Linked DNA regions of Caenorhabditis elegans. The protein of the gene in region 3 purifies or fractionates together with the protein of the main gene of each other region. This does not show direct contact. Each region holds a gene or a part of one and is shown on either strand. Other genes may lie near its edges.

Region 1 (2,521 bases), on a different chromosome or scaffold from region 3:
ATTTGTAATGAGGATTCAACTTGCAATACAATTCCTCACTTTTTCAACATTTCATACTTTATTTGAGAGACAACAACAATGAGAAGAAAACAACAAGAATAGTACAAAAAGAATAAGAGAAAACGGTGGAAAAAAGACTAAAAGCTAGTCGTCAAGATCGTATTTCGAAACAATTGGGGGTTTGATGCGTAACTTGGGATCTCGTTGTCGTTCTAGGGCCTCTCTGAAACCATGAAAATATTATCAATGATTTTTTCAATTTACACAAACCTTCGATCTTTGCCTTCTTGTGGAGTTAAAAAGCGACCTTGCATAGTTTGCTCATCGACAGTCCAAAGGAACATATCGTTGAGAGTATAACCAAAAGCTTTCCATCCAACGAAGAAAAGAACAAAAGAGACGATGATACGACGACGAGACACCTGAAATTATAAAATATCGTTTGGAAAAATGCGAGATTTGTAAATTACCTGTTGATAATTGATAGGTTTATTGGGGGTGAAAGAGCGGATTTTTTGCCGCAACATGCGGCGCCACTCCCAAACCAGCATTTTAGCAAACGGTCTTTGCCTTCTGGGTTGGCAAGAGTCCGAAGCGCTTCTTGATGATGATGCGATATTTGGAGTTCTTGTCTTCCGGCGAAAAGCGAGCTGGATGAGCGGTAAGAGTTTGCTCTCCAGATGGAGCAGTTCTCTTCAAAGTGTACACTCTTTGTTGGTTCTCGTCCAAGAAGTATCTCAAGAACATTGTCCGTTGAAAGTAGACTGAGTTCTGAAACTATCAATGATTTCTAAAACTTCTGAAACTATAGAGAAATATGAAATAAATACGGCGCATTGCAACGAAAAAAAGAATTAGCGAGAAAGAATGAAGGGGTGATTTCATTAGATATTTTTAAAAATTATTCCAAATTTCACGCATAACAGAAAGAAAACAAAACAAGAAGGAATATCACAAAATGTTTGATGGAAACCGGTAAGAAGTGAGGATAATAGGCACGTGCTGAGTAGCTGATCTATATAGATAAAATGTGAAAACAAGTTGAACTAATCTGGCGTACGAGAAAAGAAAAGGTAAATCGATAAATATATATGTACAACGGGTATAGTGGATCGTGAGAAAAGTGAATCGGGACAAGAGACTTAGAGATAAAAAACGTGAGGCAGAGTTCACTCAATAAACAACAAATTTTCCGAAAAAACATCTATGTATTATTATAATGGGCCCATTCCGAGTGTGTGGAAAACATAATCCCAAAGAGAAGTCGAAATTCCGAAGCCTGAAAAATGAAAATAGGCCTGAAATAGGGAAAATGATAGAAAAATTTCGATTGCGAAAATGAAAGTGCAAACGCGCTCCATCGCAAATCTGTGTAATTTTCCGTCAGAGAACATTATATTTCACGACAATTTGCAGATTATAGAAAATCTCAATTAAAAAACAGTTTTTAATGTTCTTGACTTAAAAATAACAAATTAAAAATTGATTTTTAAACAAAATCCCGTTAAATGTAACTTACCGACGTCAAAGTTTTTGAAGTGGTGATTATGATGATATACTTTTCTAAAATGTAAATTGCTGCGTGGACGAGGACTTCCGTGATGTAAATAATAGTGTACCATATCGTAGGTTACATATCCAAATAACTTTCCAGCGCCAAACGCGCAAAACACTGGCCTAAAACGATTAACTGAATATGGGAACCAGGAAAGGTTTAATACTGACCATTGGAAGGTATTGGAGTAGATTAAATAGAAAATTCCAACAATCAAAGTAGCTGGAACCGGAGGGAACACAAGGCGGTCTCCGTCCATCGGTGTTTTATGGTGAAGTCCATGAGCCAAGAAATGAAGAAGAATCTGATTCGGCGAATCTGGAGACGGCTTCCAATGGAAAACCCATCGATGAAGACTGTATTCAGTGAGAGTCCATGTCAAAACTCCAATGACGAACCAGGCAGACCACAGGAGAATCGAGTTATAAACATCGGTGGATGTTGAAAATGAGAGCACTGAGAGGATAGAAAAAGTAATGACGATCGGCATCCAAACAGCAGGGACCACCCACCAAGCTGTTCTTGTCATGCTTTCCAACACATCCGAATCGAAAAGTCTGAAAAAAAGTGAAAATTTGCATTGAAAAGTCGAGATCATCAATACCTTAAAGTTCCATCATATGGTTGATGAATCCAATGCCAATATTCAGAGCCAAGAGATCCAACTTTGAAAAGCATTCCGGATTTAGACTCAATCAATGGATCACCCTAGAATTTTAGAAATATTAATAATTAGATTTGATGGAAGGAACGAACTTTTTGAATTGCATTCACATTATATCTCTCGAGCATATTATAAGCGGCTTCCGAGTGCTCATGACGTACACCCATTATCCTTTTTTCTCCTCTGATAAATTCTCCAATTTCTTCTCCAGCCAAACGATTCAGAACCTATAAAAAGTTTGAGATTAGTAAAATATCCTAAAACTTGAAAAAAAGTTACCTTGGCACCTCCCGGATGTTTAG
Region 2 (6,024 bases), on a different chromosome or scaffold from region 3:
TTATCTTTTATCACCTGTTTTCTGTAGTTTTCAATTCTTTGTCTAATTGTATTGGTCATTTGCTTCTTCTTTCTATTACTTTTCCATTTAATACATCAAATTTTGAAACTTTATAGTTTTTTCGAAACTATGAATACATCCGAATTTTTATACAAATTTCGTTTCATCGCTGATTTTGCTGCTATTGGAATTTTATGTTTTATGGCAATTATGACACTTGTTGTTATATATTTGACAAGTGATATTATTAATGAAATTGATGAAATGAAAGATGTTTTTATGGATAAAAAGGCTACTTTTGAGGTGAGTGTAATAATTCATTAAACTTTTCTAAAAACTGAAAAACTAAAATTTCCAAACTCACATTTGAACATTCTAAATTTTATTTCCAGATGTATGCGAACGATGCTGAAAATCTAATGTCGAACAATCGCCACCTTGACGGATTTTCTGATATATTCGATACTTTGATAAGGATACCTAGAAGATCTTCAAATTCCTGTGATCAATAAATATTAATACATATATAAAACCCAGGATGATAAGATTGAAAGTAATAATTTACTCGAATACCGTCCCACTCAAATTTAAAGTGTACACGTTTTTTTCAAAGAAAAAATGATGAGGGAGAGGGAAAATTGACAGAAAAACGGGAAATCGGGCAGAGAGCGAATGCAATCGGATTGTGCACAATAAAACGGGTCAAAACGGATAATTTAGATGGGAGAAAAGGGGGAGAAAAATAAATTAGATCCATAAATTTGTTGGTTACTTCTTAGTTGATACAACAACCGGCTGATAATCTGGATTCTTCTTCAAAATAACCAATCCTTCAAGATGTGGAGTCACAGAGAGATCTGAAATATTTTAGTTAAAAATTAATTATCAAATGTTAGGATGGCATACATTCATCGTTCGCCAACTCGGCACGTTCACCATGGGCAAGCAAGACTGGCGTAGTATGAGTTTGGAATCCAGTGATTGTCTTTGGCTTTCCGGCTTGAGCAACAACGTCAACGGCTTGACCAACACGAACAGAAACGTTCAACTGTAAAATCACATTGGAGAGTTGAAACTTTTAAAAAAATTATACCTGTTTCAAGCTTCCAGGCTTCATTTCGTCTTCTACCAGTGTGGTAAGCATTCTTGGTTGCATTGCGAGCACCAACGTGTAGAGCAAGTAATGCTGACGGTTGTTGAGAATCTAAATTTGAAATAAATTATGGTAGAAATATCAATCTTGCACTAACCGTGTTATTGGCGTCGAGGAAAGAGAAGCAAATTGAAAGGAGAGAAGCCAAAGCACTTGGAGACAATAATTGCCTATCAGAATGCCATGGGTTCAACGTCATTGTTCCTTTTCCGAGATGAGTAAGTCCTTGTGCAATTCTGACCAGCATTAGAGAAACTTGATCCTTGTAGTGATAAGAAGCCAGGTTTCGGAGCATAGCAACAAGACGAGCATTGTTTGTTCCTGCTCCAACAAGTCCCATCGCGAAAATAGCATTGTGAGCGGTATCAGCGTCAGAATCGTGAGAGAACTTGGACAGAGTTTCCAAAATGTTCAATTGAGGATTTGAGACGGAGAGAAGTGACAACGCCAAGGGAACAGCACGACGGATAACTGGTTCTCCATATCTGATGAGATGTCCGAACATGCGAAGAGCCATCTGAGATCCGATGTCATCTCCCATAGCAATCAGACCAATTCCGAGTACAGCAACCGCCTGTTGCGATGACAAGTCTGGCTTGGCAGGTGGTGCTGGAGTAGCGTCGGCGGCAGCAGTCTCTGGAGCTCCTGGTGTAGCAGCACTTGCGGCTCCTGGAAGGTCGCGTCTCGGAGCAGCTGGGGCAACGGCGGGTGTTCCAGTTGGGGCTGGAGTGCCAGCGACGTTGACATTTCCAGGTTGCGCAGCAGGACGAGCAGGTGTAGCAGCAGCTGGGGCTGGTCCACGCGGTCCACGAGAAGCGGCAGTTTTCTTCTCAGCTGCTGGCGTCTCGTAGTGTTCAGAGCAGAGATGGAGCAATTTCTGGATTTTCAAAACATTTCCAGTTCCTGCGTATGCACAAACTTCAACGAGCGTAGAAACCTGAAATTGTATTCATTATGATATGAACAAGGGAATAGCCAAAACTCGAGGTGATCTAGAACAAATAATACTTACCATCGCTCCAAATGGATCAGGAAGTGAACGGAGACTTTCGACAAACACATCACTCTTGTCCTGAGTTTGCAAGAAGATCAATGCAATTCCCAATGCAAGGAAACGCATATTTGGATCTGTGAGCTCAGTTTCGCTTTTATCCATTAGAGCTTGAAGCATCTCCATCGCAGCTTCCGCATCAGCAGTTCCAACAAGAATGAGGCCAAGAGAAAGTCCAGCAAGTCCTTTAACTTCAGGAATAGCCGATGGCTTTTGATCAGAAAGAACTTTCTTGAGCTCGAAAATAACACCGCGTTCCTCATTCTTTGTAACGGTTTCTCTTTTGGAATTAGCGTAGGCAAGTCCAAGTCCAAGAATTGATCCTACTCTCATAATTGACCGATCAGATTGAACATGATCAAGGAGAAGTGCGGAAGCAGGGTCACAAGCATCTTGAATTCCAGAGGAAATAATACCAATAGCCAAAAGGGTTCCAGCCTTGATATAATCGTCATTGATATACAAGAATCTGTCGCATTGTGCCAGGCCGGTATCGATATCCCATCTCCAGATAAGACCCTGTGAGGCGGCTGCAGTAAGCATTCCATATTCCTTGTTCTTGTAGAACCATCTGGAGGCTTCCTCTGTTTCAGCCATCATTTTATCAACTCCGAATCCACAGTTCACGAATCCATTCACCAACGCAGCGGCGAGATTCATGCGAGTAGAGTCTGGCTGAGCAGAGTTTCCGAATGGCCGGGAATGTTCCAAATGAGATTTGTAAATTCCTTCTGGAGTTTTAGGCTCCATAATGTCGAGCTCACGAGCCAAGGAGTGGAAGTATTCATAGAGATGAGCATTGGAATTCAGTTCGGCAAGAGCATCCGAATCTGCAGATCCCTCGTAGTCAAGGAAAATCTGATGGCGACCGAGCAAGATAGCCATTTGCTTTCGAAGCAATCTGAAAACTTTTCTTTAGGAAAGTAAGAGACGTTATATTTAACTTACGGGTCAGATGCCTTCGCAAATATTTGATGAACCTGTGGAATATCGTTGACCATGATAGCACATCTAACAGCTTCAAGATACCGGTTGAATTTCAAATAGAGTTGGAGAGCAGTGCGAATAAGAATAATGTTATCCGGGTCTGGAGTCAATGGGGCACATGAAAGAAGATAAAGGCACACACGTTGGTGATCAACTTCTTGGACATAAGAGATCAGCAAATCAATACGCTCAATTTCGATGAGCAAATCGCACGCTTCAACTTCTGCGTTGTGTTTCATGTGATGGCTGACAATATCCTGAGTCAACTTAAGGAGTTCAGCTTTTCTCGCATCCGAAGTGCCTTCCTTCTTCCACTCCTCTGACATTTCCATCGCCAAATGACGAACGTATTCATGTCCCCAATCCCCGATCGGCTCGTGTGATCCAAGAATACGATAGTTGATCGTGTCGGTTCGCTCATCTGATGTCATTGCGAGCACTGAAATGATATCTGCGCAAAGTTTCTTAACGTCAGGCGCCACGATCGATGTGAAAATCTCCTTCATTTTATTGTAATGCGGACGCATAAACTTGAGAGGTTTTGGAACAGAGGTCATCGATGTGGTTGAAGCACGAATCAATGTCCGCATAGTCTCCAGTGATGGCTTGTAAAGTGTTGTGTCCGGTTCAGATAAACGCTGAACAAGAAGATTGAGATCCTCCTCGAGTTTTTGATCCTCTTCGCTCTGAAATAAATAAGCTATAAGTCTCATTACGGCTTAAACAATAGTTATTCTTTAAACTAACCATCTCTTCTTTTTTTGGCTCAGCTTTCTCGGGAACTTTTTTATCGTCGGCTTTCTTTTTGTCCGCCTCTTTTGGTGTCTGTTGAGTAGTCGCCACCATTTTTCGATCCTTCAAAATATATGTATTCGAAAGAGAAGCTGAGATTTCGAAATGAATTTTATAGAATTAACAAAACAGTTAAGTCACGAAGAAACTATAACAGCGTATTCAAATACTAATTCCCTCGAAAACGTGAATATTTTTCAACTTTATGAAAACATCGAAAAATAACTATTTTGAGAGTCAGAGTTTGGAAAAAAGGAATAGAAACTAAGAGTGAAATACATCTAATCCGAATAAAAGAATAAAAAAACAACAAAACGATGACAATTGGATTAGAAAATCTGAAAATCCGCGCCGGTTCGCGGAAAAAATGATAATTTGAACAGACTTTGTTTAAAGGCGCAGTCATCATGCCGGCTGGTGGGTCTCGCCACGAATGGCTCCGATTCAAAATACGTGGACGAGTTTACCACGTCTTTCTCTTTTTTTTGCTGAAATTATTGTAATTTAAAGATAGATTTTCGCAGAATTTATGCATCAAATCAATATAATACACTTGAAATTTGCTCTTATAATGAATTTTGCTGATTTCACCAAACAAAAATATCATTTTTCTAGTCTGTACATGCGAATTTTTGCTGCTAAATGATTTTGTGACAAAATAAAGTTACTCTGTGCTGAGATTGTAATAATAGATAATTTTTTAACACGAGCTGATTAATTAAATTCCAAATAGATGTCGTCTTGCTCGATCAGTCGAATTTCATTCTTGAAACGTTTTAATATGACATTTTTGGGTTTTCTGCATTTTTGATTGTATATCTAATTTTTCCAGATGCGATTGCTATTTGCCATCGCTCTCCTGGGGGCGGTTTTCGCTGAAGACGCTTGGAAAGCCGCTAATGTTGACCGAACCATCGATGCCACGTCACAAATTGTCAAGGTTTCGACATTGTATTCATTTGAGAACGTTGGAAATGGACCTCAATCGAAAGTTTTGGTATGTAGATATATTTTTCCTGAAAATTCACTATATTTCCTATATTTCAACTTTATTTTTCAGATTGCTTTGTCTAAAGAAGAATCTGCTACTCTTTCTTTCATTTCTGCTGGAATCGATGGAAGCAAAGGAAAATTGAAAATTTCTGAAAAACCAGCCGAAAAGGATCTTGCAGTTTACGAAGTAGACCTCCGAACTCCTGTTGCCAAGGGAGCCAAAGTTACCATAAGAATCAATCTTCGTATCACACAAGTACTTGAGCCACTCCCATCCAAGATTCAGCAATCTGACAGTCAATTTGTTGTTCTTCACACATCTGCATACGTTCCTTCCCTGTACGAAACTGTGACCCAAAAAACAACTATTAGAACCACTCAAGGAGGCAAGCTTCTATCCGCAACCACAGTTTCTCCATCGAAACAAGAAACGGAACGTGTCATCTACGGACCATATGTTAATATCCCAGCTTTTGAGACGAAACCAGTCAAAGTTCATTATGAAAATAACTCGCCATTCGTTATTGCCACCATCGTGGAAAGATTCATCGAGGTTTCTCACTGGGGAAACATCGCTGTGGAGGAGTACATTGAATTGGTTCACAAGGGAGCTGAGCTTGATGGTCCATTCTCAAGAATCGATTACCAAATGGACCGTCGTGGACGTCGCCAACCAGCACTCCAACAGTTTACCACAGTTCTTCCTGCTCAAGCTAAAGATATCTATTATCGTGATGAGATCGGAAACATTTCTACATCCGCTGTACGAATCCGTGCTGACAGCGTTGACGTTGAGATTCGTCCACGATTCCCACTCTTTGGAGGATGGAAGACGTCGTATGTCATCGGATACAATTTGCCATCGGAAGAGTATTTGTACAGCAAAGGAAATCAGTATGCTCTCAAAACAAAGTTGTTCGATCATGTGTTCAATGATATTGTTGTAGAGAAATTGCGCACTAAAGTTCTTCTTCCAGAACATGTCAAGTAAGTTTTCATTTTACTCATTGCGTTAGTTTTCAAAAAAAGTTATTATGTTGGTTAACAT
Region 3 (3,973 bases):
ATCTACCGTTATCTGCCGCTCTTGCATCTCTTTCTTTTTTGATCAACATGGTTAGTATCTTCAGTTTTTGTGTTGATTCGGTCAAATATTGCTGAAAGAATGAAAGATTAATTCAAAATTTAGACTCAGTAGTTACCGAGACAATTGCGGGACTTATATTATTATTCTCAAGTGTGCTCTCCTGGGTCGGAAGTAGACTAGCAATTTCACTGATAGGACGTACCAACTTGCATTCGATATTGGAAAATACATCACGAACTCTGGAAACATTCTAAGAATAGCACAAATTTTGCGAATATTGCTCGAACCTCGGATTATCAGCTTCAATGAGCACAGGTCTTTCCATTTTACCTTTGCAAAACTCGAGTGTTTCGGTTAACGAGGCAACTGAACTTGAGAAATGATACGCGAAGATGAATCGTGTCAAAGAACTTTCAAAAGTTTGAGCGAGACGTCCGAGTGAGTCGGCAAACTCACTGTTCCCCTTCAACTTCTCGGCATTATTAATGATAACAAAACGTAGAACAGATATAAAATCATCCAACTGTTCCATTTCATTCTTCAGCTTATCGATATACTCTTTGATTTTTTTGAATGAACCAATGAAAACTCTAGATCTATTCGATGTCATGAATTCATTTGACAGCTCAGTTGTGTCTAGATTTGTTATATGTGTATTTGGACGAGTGGAATTAGAACTTCTTCTCTTGTTGAGTAGGCCTCTCATTACAGATTTCGAGCGTTTACCGTCTGTAGTTATAATAATGCATCGCGGAAACGGTTTCTGAAATTAGAATCAGTTATCACTTCCACTAGCTTGGCTAACCCTATGCGAACGAAATCTGTCGATGGAGTGCAAGATGGGTTGTCCGTAGTAAAACTCGTGATTTGGGCCTGAATGAATGCAAAACAAATGTTCGCCGTTGTGAAAACGCCCGAGACTGCAATATAAAGCATCTTGCAATGTTCTCCATGGACTGTAGCCTCGGCGGCCACTGAAAATATGAATGTATTTTCAGAATTAACGACGGGATCGAATGACCTGATTGAAAACTTCATCAGCTTCCTCGTTATTTGCAGCGACCCGGTTTCAGACGATCTCACATACGCTACTTCTTCAAAGTATTAATTTCGATGGTATCTTTAGTATGATATTTCAAACCTTCTCTTGAAGCTGCCGGTCCCCACTCTGGGTTATGCGCTCGAGCCTGGAAAACATGAAATAATTGCAGTCATTCATTAATCTCAACTTCTTTGACCGAAAAACATGATCTCCTTGCATTGCCCAATCCATCAAGATCAAAAGCATTCACGACACCTGAAATGAATAAAATAAATATCCCATTTAGCTCATCAAAAATTGTCACCCATGCTACATATGCCGATTCCATTGGAGTTATCCATTTCTTTGATACTTATCTAAATACTTCCATTCAAATCCTGTTATTTAAACCCGTGCGCGATATCTGAACAACTCCGGAGTGTTTTTCAATGCTCGACTCGCTCCAGCAATCGATAAACAGAATGGGAATCGGTTTCGCTGCGTTCAAAACATCGGCCGGAATATTCTGGTTTCTGAGACAACGAAACGTGAAACATCTATCAAGTTTTCAACCTTTTTTCGAAGCCATGATTAGTATCATAATTTAAAACCTGTTTTTTTGCTTGACGTTTTTGCATATTTCAATCAAAACCACCTTTCATATCGCTTTGATTTTCAATTTTAGAACAAAGCCCCGCCTACAATTGCCTGATTTCGTTCTACGCGAGCTGTTTGCTTGCGAATCGATAAAGTGTCGGTTGTGTGGCAAGTGCGCTCCACTGTGCAGGTCTCGCAGCGATTGCCATTTTCCACCGTAGTTCCCTCCAATGTCTTCTCCATTTTCGTAATTTTTTGGTTCGCCCAAATTTTTTTTCGTCATTTTTTGCCTGAAATGTTCGTTTCTTCTCAATTTTTCTTGGATTTTAAGAGTAGATTTGAGAATAGTGGATGATTCTAGTCGATTCAGATCGACTGGAGCGTGATTTAAATCCATGACTCTAAGTGAAATGGGATAATTCTCAATCTTACTCGGCTCTCCCACGGCTGAGGTATGTATTTTTCGTAATTTCGCTTTTCGTTTTTGTTAAATAATCGATTTTTGTAGTATGGGACGTCCAGAGTTCAATCGTGGCGGCGGCGGCGGAGGTAAACTGAATTTCAGGATTTTTTCGTATTATAAATATTATTTTTCAGGTTTCCGAGGTGGACGCGGTGGAGACCGTGGTGGTAGCAGAGGTGGATTTGGAGGCGGTGGTCGTGGAGGATATGGCGGAGGTGATCGTGGCAGTTTCGGTGGAGGTGATCGCGGAGGCTTCAGAGGAGGACGCGGAGGTGGAGACCGCGGTGGTTTCCGTGGAGGAAGAGGCGGTGGTGATCGGTTTGTGTTTTATAATTCTGTTCGCCATCAAAACGATAATTTTTCAGAGGTGGTTTTGGTGGCCGTGGATCACCAAGAGGAGGATTCGGAGGACGTGGATCTCCAAGAGGCGGAAGAGGATCACCACGTGGTGGACGCGGAGGAGCCGGTGGAATGCGAGGAGGAAAGACTGTCGTTGTCGAACCACATCGTCTCGGTGGAGTATTCATCGTGAAAGGAAAGGAAGATGCTCTTGCCACAAAGAACATGGTTGTGGGAGAGTCCGTGTACGGAGAGAAGAGAGTGTCCGTCGATGACGGAGCTGGCTCAATCGAGTACCGTGTGTGGAATCCATTCCGTTCTAAGCTCGCTGCTTCCATCATGGGAGGATTGGAGAACACTCACATCAAGCCAGGAACCAAACTTCTCTATCTCGGAGCTGCTTCTGGAACTACTGTTTCCCATTGTTCTGACGTCGTTGGACCAGAAGGAATCGTTTATGCTGTTGAGTTCTCTCACAGATCTGGACGTGACCTTTTGGGAGTTGCCAAGAAGAGACCAAACGTTGTCCCAATTGTCGAAGATGCCAGACATCCACACAAGTACCGCATGCTTGTCGGTAAGTATTAAATTTAAGCATTTTTGTGTTTAATATTTATATTACAGGAATGGTCGATGTCATCTTTTCTGATGTTGCTCAGCCAGATCAAGCTCGTATTGTTGCTCTCAATGCCCAAAACTTCCTTCGCAACGGTGGACATGCCGTCATCTCTATCAAAGCTAATTGCATTGACAGTACTGCTGAGCCCGAGGCTGTATTTGCTGGTGAAGTCAACAAGCTGAAGGAGGAGAAGTTCAAGCCACTTGAGCAGGTAACCCTGGAGCCGTATGAGAGAGACCACGCTGTCGTGGTTGCTGTCTACCGCCCAGTCAAGGGAAAGAAGGTCTGATCTCCAAAATCATCGTTACATTTTTTTGTTTTGTTATTTTGTTACATGTATACCTCCATCTTGATCGTTAACACTTGTTTTACTTGTTTCCCAATAAAATGTTGTTGATGCTGTCATGTTAGGGATGTTTTACTTTTATCTTTACTTGGTTCTCAACCTTGCCGATATTTCTATTCTACTTTAATTGTAACCTTTATTTTGTTCTTTGTTTAATATATTATTACAGGGTAATGACGTCTACCGTGCAATCGGTTCAGACCTTCGGGCGCAAGAAGACTGCCACCGCTGTCGCTCACTGCAAAAAGGGACAAGGACTTATCAAGGTCAACGGTCGCCCACTTGAGTTCTTGGAGCCACAGATCCTGCGCATCAAGCTTCAGGTTTTTGTTCCGACATTAAATTCCAACTAACTTGTATTTTTCAGGAGCCACTTCTCCTCGTCGGAAAGGAACGCTTCCAGGATGTCGACATCAGAATCCGTGTTAGCGGTGGAGGACACGTTGCCCAGATCTACGCTGTCCGTCAAGCCCTTGCCAAGGCTCTCGTTGCCTACTACCACAAGTACGTTGACGAGCAGAGCAAGAGAGAATTGAAGAACATCTTCGCCGCTTACGACAAGTCCCT

The links. The genes of interacting proteins can lie anywhere in the genome.
Region 1: the proteins of fib-1 (region 3) and nola-3 fractionate together in Caenorhabditis elegans (co-fractionation; one large-scale study listed by BioGRID). This does not show direct contact.
Region 2: the proteins of fib-1 (region 3) and rpn-1 fractionate together in Caenorhabditis elegans (co-fractionation; one large-scale study listed by BioGRID). This does not show direct contact.

The regions. Positions count from the first base shown.
Region 1 is NC_003279.8:10,177,268-10,179,788, reverse strand, and holds nola-3 (Putative H/ACA ribonucleoprotein complex subunit 3), read right to left. Parts: upstream 748-2,521; coding exon 553-747; downstream 1-552. Other genes in the region: C25A1.16 (uncharacterized protein), read right to left, coding at 145-223, 271-422, 471-551; fath-1 (Fatty acid 2-hydroxylase), read right to left, coding at 1,215-1,279, 1,520-1,677, 1,726-2,112, 2,160-2,263, 2,312-2,446, 2,499-2,521. UniProt on the Caenorhabditis elegans protein: Required for ribosome biogenesis. Part of a complex which catalyzes pseudouridylation of rRNA. This involves the isomerization of uridine such that the ribose is subsequently attached to C5, instead of the normal N1.
Region 2 is NC_003282.8:6,905,868-6,911,891, forward strand, and holds rpn-1 (26S proteasome non-ATPase regulatory subunit 2), read right to left. Parts: upstream 4,047-6,024; 5' UTR 4,038-4,046; coding exon 3,939-4,037; intron 3,878-3,938; coding exon 3,153-3,877; intron 3,106-3,152; coding exon 2,166-3,105; intron 2,091-2,165; coding exon 1,251-2,090; intron 1,205-1,250; coding exon 1,094-1,204; intron 1,049-1,093; coding exon 907-1,048; intron 858-906; coding exon 769-857; 3' UTR 553-768; downstream 1-552. Other genes in the region: T22D1.17 (Col_cuticle_N domain-containing protein), read left to right, coding at 130-303, 393-512; ribo-1 (Dolichyl-diphosphooligosaccharide--protein glycosyltransferase subunit 1), read left to right, coding at 4,816-4,980, 5,044-5,963.
Region 3 is NC_003283.11:15,000,144-15,004,116, reverse strand, and holds fib-1 (rRNA 2'-O-methyltransferase fibrillarin), read left to right. Parts: upstream 1-2,007; 5' UTR 2,008-2,091; intron 2,092-2,147; 5' UTR 2,148-2,148; coding exon 2,149-2,188; intron 2,189-2,236; coding exon 2,237-2,420; intron 2,421-2,467; coding exon 2,468-3,018; intron 3,019-3,065; coding exon 3,066-3,349; 3' UTR 3,350-3,464; downstream 3,465-3,973. Other genes in the region: mut-15 (MUTator), read right to left, coding at 1-91, 137-260, 309-784, 827-995, 1,043-1,115, 1,163-1,208, 1,251-1,318, 1,368-1,404; rps-16 (Small ribosomal subunit protein uS9), read left to right, coding at 3,580-3,729, 3,774-3,973. UniProt on the Caenorhabditis elegans protein: S-adenosyl-L-methionine-dependent methyltransferase that has the ability to methylate both RNAs and proteins. Involved in pre-rRNA processing.